Linked DNA regions of Canis lupus familiaris. The protein of the gene in region 1 purifies or fractionates together with the protein of each later gene. This does not show direct contact. Links are inferred from orthologs where the notes say so. Each region holds a gene or a part of one and is shown on either strand. Other genes may lie near its edges. The genes, in order: KIF24, CCP110 and CEP97.

Region 1 (3,648 bases):
CTGGGTCTCCCATGAATAAATAAATAAAATCTTTTTAAAAATTAGTAATATTTTAGTACTGCACACTAGTACTGCTAGAAGAAAGGCTACTTCACAGGGCACCTGGGTGGCTTAGTTGGTTAAGCATCTGACTCTTGGCTTTGGCTCGGGTCATGGTCTCAGGGTTATGAGACAGAGCCCGGAGTTCAGCTCTGCACTCAGCTTGGAATCTGCTTGAGATTCTCTTTCCCTCTCCTTCTGCTCCTCCCCCTTCTCACACGCTCTCTCTCACTGTCTGTCTCAAATAAATCTAGAAAAAAGGCTACTTCATGAACTGAAATTAGATAGAAGATATGAAATGATCCAAACTTGTTTCCAAAAAACCAATATGGCTTGAAATTTTTTACCCCCATGTATCCATCAGCCAGCTTCAACAGTTAATAGTAAACCAATCTTTTCTCATAAGCCCACCCACTCACCAAAATCACAGACATTGTTACCAGTTGCTTAGAGTAAGAACTTCATCATTAAGAGCAGAGAACAAGACATCTCTCTTAGTGCCTCAGTAAAGGAAGATGAAAATAACCCTTTCTCATAGGAGAAGTATTAAGTATAATTGAGAAATTATGTGACATAAGTTTAACTTTAAAAAGAACAGAAAAAGTATAATAGAAATCTTTTCCAATTTGAAGCGGTCTAATAAATTATTAAAAATGAATGAAAAAAAAACAAAAACAAAAAAAAAATGAATGAAAGCCGTTTGTTTTATGTGCTTAAATGAGACCTAATGAAATTTAGGTAATAATCTATATACATACCAATGATTTTATTGCTTATTTAAAAATTTCTGATATAAAATTTCTTCTTTCTATATACTAGAAGAATGTTGCTAAGGACTCCAGAGATAAAGTTCCAGCTAGACCCCTAATAGGTATACATCTATCAGAAGAGCTCAGTGATAGGAGTGATTTTGGGGACAGGGAGAGTATATTGAAAGCATTTAGCATCAATGACCAAATTACCTGTAGGATTCCTTCTGGCACTCAGCTTTCTAGAATTATTTACTGTGACTCCTAGGGAGAAGTTTTGGTATTTCTCTCTTAATGAAACTAAAATAATTAAGATTTTTATAACAAGAAGTAACTTGGAACCATCTAGACTTACTGTGGTACCTCTCAGCTTATTTCCTTGTATGTATGCCCTACTGCAACACCTAAACAAAGGCCTGTGGGATATATGTGTCTTTCTTTCTTTCTTTTTTTTTTAAGATTTTAGTCGGTCCAGGGCCTGATCCTGGAGACCCAGGATCGAGTCCCACGTCGGGCTCCCTGCATGGAGCCTGCTTCTCCCTCTCTCTGTGTCTCTGCCTCTCTCTGTATGTCTGTATTTATTCATGAGAGAATAAGACAGAGGAGAAGCAGGCTCCTCACGGGGAGCCCAATGTGGGACTTGATCCTGGGACCGGGATCATGCCCTGAGCCAAAGGCAGATGCTCAACCGCTGAGCCACCCAGGCGTCCCCACATGTGTCTTTAGTCACATCCTACATCTCTTTGCTTAGCTATGTTACCTGCCTGCCTTGGCTCTCAGACTTAAAGGGAAGATTTAAATCAAGTCTCAGTATCAGGGGATCCCAGGGTGGCTTAGCGGTTTAGCACTTGCCTTTGGCCCAGGGCGTGATCCTGGAGACCCGGGATCGAGTCCCATGTCAGGCTCCCTGCATGGAGCCTGCTTCTCCCTCTGCCTGTGTCTCTGCCTCTCTCTCTCTCTCTCTCTCTCTCTCTCTCTCTCTCTCTGTGTGTGTGTGTGTGTGTCTCTCATGAAGAAATAAAATATTAAAAAAAAAAAAAAAAGTCTCAGTATCAGGCTTATTATCTTGGTTTTCAGAAATGGCCAGAGGAGTCATTTGGCTACAAGTAAGGATTGGATTAAAACCAAAACAACGGAGGGACACCTGGGTGGCTGAGTCAGTTAAGCATCTGCCTTTGGTTCAGGTCATGATTCCAGAGTCCTGATCGAGCCTCTCATCGAGTTCCCTGCTCAGCGAGGTGCCTGCTTCTCACTCTTCCTCTGCCCCTCTCTCTCCTCATGTTCTCTGTCTCTCTCTCTCTCTCTCTCTCTCTCACACACACACACACACACACACACACACAAATAAGTAAAGTAAAAAAAAAAAAAAAAAAAGGGAAGAGACATTTAATGGGAGCCCCCAGGCAGAAGTACTGCTCCCTCCTAGAGGATTTTAATGAAGAATTTACAAACCACTGAAGAGTCACATTTTTACTTGATGTCACCTTGTAATTCTAAATTCTTAGAGCATTTTTAAATATCACAGAGCTAAGAGACTATCCTGACAATGGAATCCTAGCAGAGACCTAATTCTGGATTTTCCATCCTCTCTAAAATTCCCATTTGGAATAAATAGAGTATATGTCTGGAGACATTTTTGATTGTCATGACTAGAGAGAAGTGCTACTGGCATTTAGTGGGTGGAAGCTAAAGATGCTGCTAAACATCCCACAGTGCACAGGACAGCTCCCTACAAAAAAGAATTATCTGGCTCCAAATACCACTAGTGCAAAGGTTGAGAAACACTAGGAATAGACAAGTCACTTTTCCTTTAATTAGCATAAGCCTGTTTATTTCCAGAGGGTTTTGCTTCCTGAGCACCCAACAAGTTTGAAGAACTCATTTTCTTAGAGAAGCCTGAAGGGAGGTAGATTGTGGGAAAAGTGGGCTCTGCCTGTGGAGTAGTAGGTGACATCAGGCTCCTGAGTTGGCCCATCTTCAAGAAGGCCCGTGTGGGCCCTACCTAGATGTAGTACAGTTCTGAGACTAGCTTCCCTGGCCCATCCCATGGGACTGAGGTGATTTCCAGAACTTCTGATCATAGAATGTTGGGTATGTTATAGCCACAGGCTACACCATCTTTTTTAGTAATACTTTTCTTTGGTTTTTGAAAAGTATAAAAAGGAATTAAGGAGCATGCAAGACTATACATTTAACATAAAATGGTAATTTACAGGGTCAAAGAACTAAAGAAAGGCATTAAATGTTGTGCTTCAGCTACCAGTCAAAATCGGACCTCTGGAAATTCTTCTCCAAAACGAATTCAGAGCTCCCCTATGGCCCTGCCAGGGGACAAGTGTTCTCCCAAAAAGGTCAAGCTGGGACTTCAGCAGACATTCACAGCATCTCCTGGTTCTATGAGAGGGAAAGCCCATCCTCTGGCCAGCCACCCACCCAACATCCCTTTTGCTCCTGTACCTAAAGTTCCCGGTAAAAGGGGTGGATCCAGAAGGAGTCTTCCCCAAGAGTGGGGCATTCAAACTAGCCCTCCCAGAGGAGCTACACGGTCTGGACATTTAGCCAGAAAAAGGGCAGAAGAGTCTGTGTCATTATGCTCTGAGAAAAATCAAATGGGCAACAAAACTGCCCACAGGTGGGAAAGCAGGGCCCCTGGCCCAAGAGAAGCCCCAGCACATGGTAAGCTGCCCTCCAAGTGCAAGCCAGGACAGACTGTGCGGCCTGTGCAGAAGCAGCTAGTGTCACCGGCCGAGCTCTCTTCTGGCAGGCCCCAGCACTCAGCAGAACACAATCAGGGCAGCCAGGGGAGCACATCTGCCAGGTCTGCCTCTGAAACTTGGACAAACATCCCTTCACATCAAAA
Region 2 (3,648 bases), on another chromosome or scaffold:
GTTTCCCCCAATTCTTTTTTTTAATGATAGTGAATTTGTAAAGAGACAAGTCCAGTTATCTTATAGGATGCCTTACTTTGGATTTGTCTGATTGTTTCTTCATGAAATTTTATGTGTCCTCTAGTTCCTGTAGTTCCTATAAATTGGAAATGAAGTCTAAAATTTTTATTAGAAAAAAAATTAAAAAAATAAAAGTTTTATTAGAAAAAAAATAAAAGTTTGATTAGAGTCAGGTTAAACATTTTTGGCAAGAACTCTTTGGAGCTGATGCCCTATGCTCCGTGTTAAGTTAAATCAGAAGTTACATAATTCTAGTTGTTTCCCTATTAGTGATGTTTAGTTTTACTTGCTTTTATAAGTGCTGACTGCCAGATAACTTTTGAAAATATACATTTCCCCCCTTTGTGATTAGCAAGTAAACTGTGGAATGATTCTTTGATACCATGCAGATAAAAATTTTAAAACATTTTTACCAGCTACTTGGTAACATTGCTTGATTAGTTTAAAGTGAACCAAAATATCTGAGCTTTGTTGTTTAGGGTCTGTGACTCCATCAGTTACTTATTTATAAGCAAAATCTGATGCTTATAGACCTTTGTCCGTGATTTTATGTTGTATGTGACAGATGAATAGTATAATTCTGGAATAATTTTTTATGACATGTTTTCTTTTTTTTTTTTTTTAAGATTTTATTTATTTATTCATGAGAGACACAGAGAGAGAGGCAGAGACATAGGCAGAGGGAGAAGCAGGCTCCATGCAGGGAGCCCGATGTGGGACTCGATCCCAGAATGCTGGGATCACAACCTGAGCCGAAGGCAGACGCCCAACTGCTGAGCCACCCAGGCGTCCCTATGACATGTTTTCCATTTATATTGGTCTAAGATAAGACTTGACTTCTTTTTTTTTTTTTTTTTTAAATTTTTATTTATTTATGATAGTCACACAGATTGAGAGAGAGAGAGAGAGAGAGAGAGAGAGGCAGAGACACAGGCAGAGGGAGAAGCAGGCTCCATGCACCGGGAGCCCGATGTGGGATTCGATCCCGGGTCTCCAGGATCACGCCCTGGGCCAAAGGCAGGCGCTAAACCGCTGTGCCACCCAGGGATCCCAAGACTTGACTTCTTAATGCAGTGACTAAACCTCTTAGAACTTAATAATTAAGATTTAAATTCACAGGTGCCTGGTGGCTCAGTGGTTGAGCGTCTGCCTTTGACTCAGGTCATATTCTGGGGTCCTGGGATCGAGTTCTGCATCAGGCTCCCTGCAGGGAGCCTGCTTCTCCCTCTGTCTATCTCCCTGCCTCTCTCTCTGCGTCTCTCATGAATAGATAAATAAAATCTTAAAAAAGAAAATTAAATTCACTAAAAAGATGTAATGCTTAGAAATTCCAGTTGTTGAAGTAAATTATATTTTTACTGGAAGGTACAGTGAATTGGGATCTAACATATTCTCATTTTGTAGGCAAAGAAAACATTATCTGTTTCTTTCATCATTAAGCCTTTAGACATTTTCTTGACGTAGCAAAGAGATAAAATGTATGCTGATTGGAACATTAGAAATTGAAGAATCTGACCCTGTGGAGTAAGATACTGCCAATGATAAGCTCAGCAGTGGCCAAAACAGTTTATCTCTCATTTTAGAGCATTTGATGAGTGAACAGGTTTTTTTTTTTTTTTTTTTTTCTTCTTTAACTTTTTATTCATTTGGGAATAATTTACATACAGTAGAATGCACAGATCTTAAGTTCTAAAGTTCCCTGAGTTTTGATATATGGCATACACTTGTGAAACTCACACCCAAATGGAACATTTTCATACCCACAAAAAGATCTCCCCTGCCCCATCCCACTCATTCCCCCTAACCACTGTTCAGATTTCTTTTCCTATAGCTTTACCTGTTGCATGTTTTAATCATTCTGATTCAAAGATTCCTGATTTTAAGGCATTTTTTAATTTATGAGAAATAATTACATATTTCTGATGTTTTGCAGCTTAACATTGAGAAAAGAAAGGAAATGCAACAAGAGAAGCAGAAAGCACTTGATGTAGAAACAAGAAAGCATGTTAATAGGAAGAAAGCTTTATTGACTCGGGTCCAGGAGATTCTTGAAAATGTTCAGGTGTGTAATGTAGATGTTTTAAAATTATAGTTAAGAAATCATGAGGTAAGCAGTAGTGATACTTTTTCAGAAATATGTTTGTGCTTACTAGTTAGTTACCAATATATTTTACTGTTATGTTTGAGAATCTTAGTGGTTTGTGATATTCCATTTCAGTTACTCCAAAGAACATTCACTTGCTTGTTAGTGATGCCCAGTACTTGAATCAGAGGGTACTTAGACAATGGAGCCCTTCCCTGAATATAATTGCTTATTGTCTGTGTCTTATGACTCTAAAAACACGGAATTCTCAGTGACAAAATAATAGAATTGGCCATTGTAGTTTACCTCTGAACTAATCAGACTATTGAGTCAATGACCTTATTCTCATTCTCTGCTAAAGTAAATAACTGCCCCCCATTTTTTGTGTGTGTGTGTGAAAATTCTCTTCTTAGGTACACAAGTGCAATTTAGATTATGTAAGTAGAATTGTCCAGATGCATCTTAGATCTAAATTGAAACCATTTAAACAATACATTCACGCCTTTTGCAATTATTTTTATTTAGCTGAATTTAAATTTGTATAAAGGGGCACCAGGATTGAGCATCTGCCTTTGGTTCAGGTCATGATCACAGGACGCTGGGATTGGGTCCTCGCTTCGGGTTCCTGACTTAGTGGGGAGCCTGCTTCTCCCTCTCCCTCTGCCTGCCAATCTGCCTGCTTGTGTTTTCTCTCTCTCCCCCTCATTCTTTGTCAAATAAATAAATAAAATCTTTAAAAAAAAAAAGAATAAATTTCTTTTTTTTTTTTTTTTTTTTTTTTTTATTATTTATTTATGATAGGCACACAGTGAGAGAGAGAGGCAGAGACACAGGCAGAGGGAGAAGCAGGCTCCATGCACCGGGAGCCCGATGTGGGATTCGATCCTGGGTCTCCAGGATCGCGCCCTGGGCCAAAGGCAGGCGCTAAACCGCTGCGCCACCCAGGGATCCCAAGAATAAATTTCTATAAACAGTTTGTTTTAGGGTGTGGATCATTTCATACTAAAGAAAAAACGAATTATGTTGAACAAATGATTTCTGCTCTATGTAGCTCTGTTTTGCTGGCTACATCTTAACTTTTTTTTTTTTCCTTAGGGTTTGTTTTATAGTTTATATAATTCATACTAGATGATACACGTACAACAAACCTTAGGCTGTTTCCCACTAATTGCTACCTTCATTTTTCTGTGGGTAGTAGATTTTAATTTGCAGATTGTAATGACTATATTAAGTTTAAAAAATACAGTGCAGCACAATAAGGGTAGACTTTGGATTTACTAGATGTTTCCTATTATTGAAACAAAATGGCATATAATTATTGGTCCAGTGAAGGAATATATCAAATGTACTAGTAATGAGATTGTTGAGTCTTAAAACTTCCAACATTTAATAGAGCATGTACAGTGTTAAACTAGAGAGTAATGAATTAATTATATGCAGATATAGAGAAATTTTAAATCAAACAAACAGATTTCTTCAGTCTCTGTAAAACCTATCATTCTGTG
Region 3 (4,341 bases), on another chromosome or scaffold:
CCACCCAGGGATCCCATCTCTAACTTTTTCATCACTCCAAATGCCCCATTGCTTCCACTGCCCAGCCTCTAGTAATCTCTACTTTGCCTTTATGAATTTGTCACTATACGCACCCCATAAAGGTGAACTTAAACAATATTTGTACTTCTGTGTCTGGCTTATTTGACTTAGTATGTCTTCAAGGTTTATTATATTGGCTAGTTACCAGCTTCTTAAGGCTGAATAATATTCCATTGTGTGTGTGTAATGTTTTGTTATCCGTTCACCCATGGATAGGCCATTTGGGCTGTTTCCATATTTTGGCTATTGTGAATAACCAGTGCTATAAACACTCGTATATTAGTTATCTGTCTTGGGGCACCTGGATGGTTCAGTCAGTTAAGCATCTATCTGCCTTTGGCTCAGGTCATGATCCCAGGAGCCCTGAGCCCCAGAGTCCCACATTGGCCTCCCTGCTTCTCCCTCTCCTGCTGCCTGTGCTGTCAAAATCATGGTTGTGGAATCAAGTCAAAATCATAACAAGAAAAAAAAAATTATTTGTGTTAGGTTCCTGCTTAGTTTCCTTGGGTATACTCCTATAAGTAGAGTTGCTGGATATAGTTCCATTTAGCTTTTTGAGAAACTGTGAGACCATTTCCAGTGCCTGTACCATCTCACATTCAGCAATGCACCAAAGTTCTGATTTCTCCACACCTTCAGCAACATTGGTAATCTTCCCTTTTCTGGATACGGACTATCCTAATGGGTGTGTCAAATCTAAGTTAGAAATAAATTTCTCCTTCATCTGAGCTCCCACAATACCTACTGGTGTCTTTCACCCAGGTGTTCACTAAAATATTCTGAGCCTTCCTAGACACTAATCCTACTGCCAGAGCACAAAAACCTTTCCTCAAAAGTCTCCATCAAGGTCAAAGAGCGCTTCAAAAAAAACAATCTTGAGAACAAAGCAAGATGCTGAAGATTCCAGTGACAGCCCTTAGAACTAATCCTGTAAACCTTCAAAACCAAGTTACCAGACTACTTAACTTCCACCCACTGGAACCTCTGAATGACTTCTACAGATGTATACTTAATAGGAGTTACCTACTTTGGCAAGCGGATGCTTCTAAATTTCAACTCGACGTTCCCGTGAGCCTGATGTATAAGGAGACGAGCGTACCAGTCGTCTTCGCTTCACTGATGCTTTACAGCCTAAGAGCACTCTCACGTCCTGTCTCCTTTACAATTTTACAGGGCGGCACCTGATGCTCAGTTTAAATTTAAGAGCCCCCCCAAGACCAGACTGCAGTTAACTTACCGACTGTCCCTTTTTGTGCTTTCTTCTGTAGAGGACAGTCCAGTTGATCTGCCGAGGGTTCCTCTTGGAAAGGAAGGCCGACTCGCATTTTGCGTTAAGAAACTGGAAGACCTGCAGGAACACGTCCAAGGCGGTCAGCTCAGCCACTCGACTGAACCAAGCGGGAGGCTGAGCTTGGAACCCTGCAGACTCTCACTTCTACCGCCTCCCTGGCCCAGAGACCAAAAGGCTGTGTGCGGGTCACGGCCGGCAGGAGCGGGTGGCACCCCGAGGCCTTGGGGCATCCGTCCTGCCGACACGGAAGCCGGTGAACCGAAGCTCCCGGGGCAGGGACGGGCGGGGCATCCCGGGAGGCATCCAGCCCGGTCCCTACCCGGGTCCCGAGAGGCCTGGTGCCCCCAGCATAGCCAGGTGCTTGGGCCGTCCGTTCCCCGGGCCGCCGGAGTTCCCAAACTCCTAACCTCCGACCTCGCTCACACTACGTCCAGCCTCGGAAATCGGCTCACTCCGAGGCTTCCTATCCTAACAGCCACTGCACCCGCGGCGCCCGCAACAAGCGCCTCAGGGGCCGGGAGCGAGGGGGGACGTGCACACGCTTAGACCCAACCGGGCCGCTCCCCTCCTAGGGGCGCAAGCGGCCTTTCACCTTCCCGTCGGTCCTGGCGTAGCGCCTGCCATGTCCGGGGTAAATCTTGTACCCACTGAAACTGCACAGCTCGACCCTGTAACAAAAAGCCAAGAGAGCCCGTTAGGGGGGGTGTCGACGGCAAGGGGCAGCCGAGCCCAGGACGTGCGAAGGCGGCTCGGCCCGAGGATGGAAGCGGATTGCGGCCCGGGGTCTTGCTCACTTCATGGCTGCGGCGGCCGGGAAGACGGCGAGACGGCGAAGAGAAGGAGAGCATCATGGGAAGAAGCCTTATAAGCCGGCAGGCCGAGCCCCTCCCCGAGTCCCTTCCGTAACCCCGGCGCTCGGCGATGACGTCAGCCACAGCCGCCTCCTTCCGCTGAAGGCGGAGCCGGCGCGCGGGGCGCGGGGCGCGCGGTCGGTTTCGCGGTCGTGGCGTCTCCTGCGGTCGGGGGTCCTGAGCGTGGTCCTGCCGCGCCGAGTGGGACGTGCACAGCCCGGTGACCGACAGCCAATACCCACAGGTAAAACTTCAAGTCACACAGCTCCGTGCTGCCCCACGAACTTCACCAGCAAAATCAAATTTTAATGGTTTCAGCTTTGGAAAATAGTAATGCCATCTGAAGTGGCTCCCACGCCTTGCACTGATCGGCATTCATGGACTTCTCTTTCTGCGCTAGGGAGTATGCCGGAGCATTTACACGCACTTGTGTAGAGTTTACGAAATCCCCAGTGAGTACGCGCCGAGGCCCTGCGAAGTGACAGCCGCCTGTCTGGGAAGAGGAGGCGTCACCTTCCGCCTATTGCAGCCCGGGGGCAGGTGGTGGAACAGTGAAAGGCAAAGCCCTTGCTCCGAGGCTTGGGAAAGGGAGCCCTGGCCAAGCCCACGGGGGGGGCAGTGCCTCAATAGCTTGAGCCCCGTGACGCTAGAAAGGAGCAGCATGTTGGGGGGTAATGGAAGGAGGCAGTCCTTGAATGGCGTTTTGCAGGATTTGACTAGGAAACAAAAATGCAATGATTGATGCTGCCTGTATAAGCTGCTCCCTCTAAAAAGCATCGGTAAGTGGTAGGTGGAAAGATCTGGAAAGTGCAACGAGGTGGCTGACTGATGTTAAGATGTTGGAAGCTGTACGGTTATGCTGGGACCAGTCTCAAGAATGAGCTCATAGAGGGGCACCTGGCTGCTCAGTCAGTGGAGCGTGTGACTCTTGATTTTGGGAGTGTGAGTTTGAGCCCCACCTTGGGCATAGAGATTACTTAAAAATAAGATCTTAAAAAATAAGAATGAGTTAATAGAGATCAGCGTGGAATCAAAAAGCAAAGGGGAGGGATCCCTGGGTGGCGCAGCGGTTTGGCGCCTGCCTTTGGCCCAGGGCGCTATCCTGGAGACCCGGGATCAAATCCCACGTCGGGCTCCCGGTGCATGGAGCCTGCTTCTCCCTCTGCCTGCGTCTCTGCCTCTCTCTCTCTCTCTCTCTCTCTCTCTCTCTGTGACTATCATAAATAAATAAAATTAAAAAAAAAAAAAAAAGCAAAGGGGAGGAATTTGACATTCCAACCAACTCTTACCAGTTTTTCAGAATACCTGGTTACTTGGAATACATTGTTTAAATACACTATGGGCAGATGGACGCCTCGGGCTCCCATGGCTTGATGAACTTAGCTATGACATTGATACAGCTCTCTTTGTTTATTATTATTATTATTATTATTATTATTATTTGCTCTCTTTGTTTTAAATCACTCCTGATTAAACAGATGTTTGATCATTTGGGAAAAAAAAAAAAAAAAAAAAGAGAAGAAAACGACCTGGCTTCTATAGGCGATAAGGCCCAGCTGGAATGAGTAGAAGATGGGGCCAAGATTTATAAGCAGGAATTTGATCCACAGAACCCCAGGATTTATAGTACCTTCCCAAGCATTTTAGGAAGATTTTATTTCACTGGTCTTCAAAATTAAGTTTGGCCTGAGTAGCTCTGTGGAGGAAAAGCAGAAAACTAGACCTTAAGGATTTTAGGGCTTTTACTCTTTCTTGGAGGGCATTCTTGAGCTGGCATCTTAGGGTTCTTTGTAACACATTGTATATATCACACCTTAAACTATGCTCAAACACTCTTAGAATAAGAAGAAAATATACAGAAGCCTCTAAAAGTATTTTATATACTGTCATAAAACGGCTTCCAACACCATCTATAAATTTCTGGTGACTTTATCCTTACACTCTTATTGATTGATTGATTGATTGATTGATTGTTTGGAGCCTAATGCGGGGTTTGAACTCACAACCCGGAGATCAAGATCCGATCTGAGACCAAGAGTTGGCTGTTTAACCAGCTGAGCTACTCAGGCACCTATTAACATTCTCTTTTATAGGCAAAAGGCTCAGCTGTCCTTCATTCTCATTTATTATTTTTTTTTT

Evidence for each region.
Region 2: the proteins of KIF24 (region 1) and CCP110 purify together in Homo sapiens (co-immunoprecipitation; 4 studies listed by BioGRID and IntAct, with this or other methods). This does not show direct contact. The link is inferred for Canis lupus familiaris from reciprocal best matches to the Homo sapiens genes KIF24 and CCP110.
Region 3: the proteins of KIF24 (region 1) and CEP97 purify together in Homo sapiens (co-immunoprecipitation; 4 studies listed by BioGRID and IntAct, with this or other methods). This does not show direct contact. The link is inferred for Canis lupus familiaris from reciprocal best matches to the Homo sapiens genes KIF24 and CEP97.

What each region holds. Positions count from the first base shown.
Region 1 is NC_049232.1:51,217,957-51,221,604, reverse strand, and holds part of KIF24 (kinesin-like protein KIF24), read left to right. Parts: intron 1-3,003; coding exon 3,004-3,648. UniProt on the Homo sapiens protein: Microtubule-dependent motor protein that acts as a negative regulator of ciliogenesis by mediating recruitment of CCP110 to mother centriole in cycling cells, leading to restrict nucleation of cilia at centrioles.
Region 2 is NC_049227.1:25,968,047-25,971,694, reverse strand, and holds part of CCP110 (centriolar coiled-coil protein of 110 kDa), read left to right. Parts: intron 1-1,993; coding exon 1,994-2,122; intron 2,123-3,648.
Region 3 is NC_049254.1:8,434,911-8,439,251, forward strand, and holds the start of CEP97 (centrosomal protein of 97 kDa), read left to right. Parts: upstream 1-1,408; 5' UTR 1,409-1,943; coding exon of another isoform or gene 1,944-2,019; 5' UTR 2,020-2,145; coding exon of another isoform or gene 2,146-2,150; 5' UTR 2,151-2,446; exon of another isoform or gene 2,447-2,654; intron 2,655-3,702; exon of another isoform or gene 3,703-3,898; intron 3,899-4,341. Other genes in the region: RPL24 (60S ribosomal protein L24), read right to left, coding at 1,298-1,408, 1,944-2,019, 2,146-2,150. UniProt on the Homo sapiens protein: Acts as a key negative regulator of ciliogenesis in collaboration with CCP110 by capping the mother centriole thereby preventing cilia formation. Required for recruitment of CCP110 to the centrosome.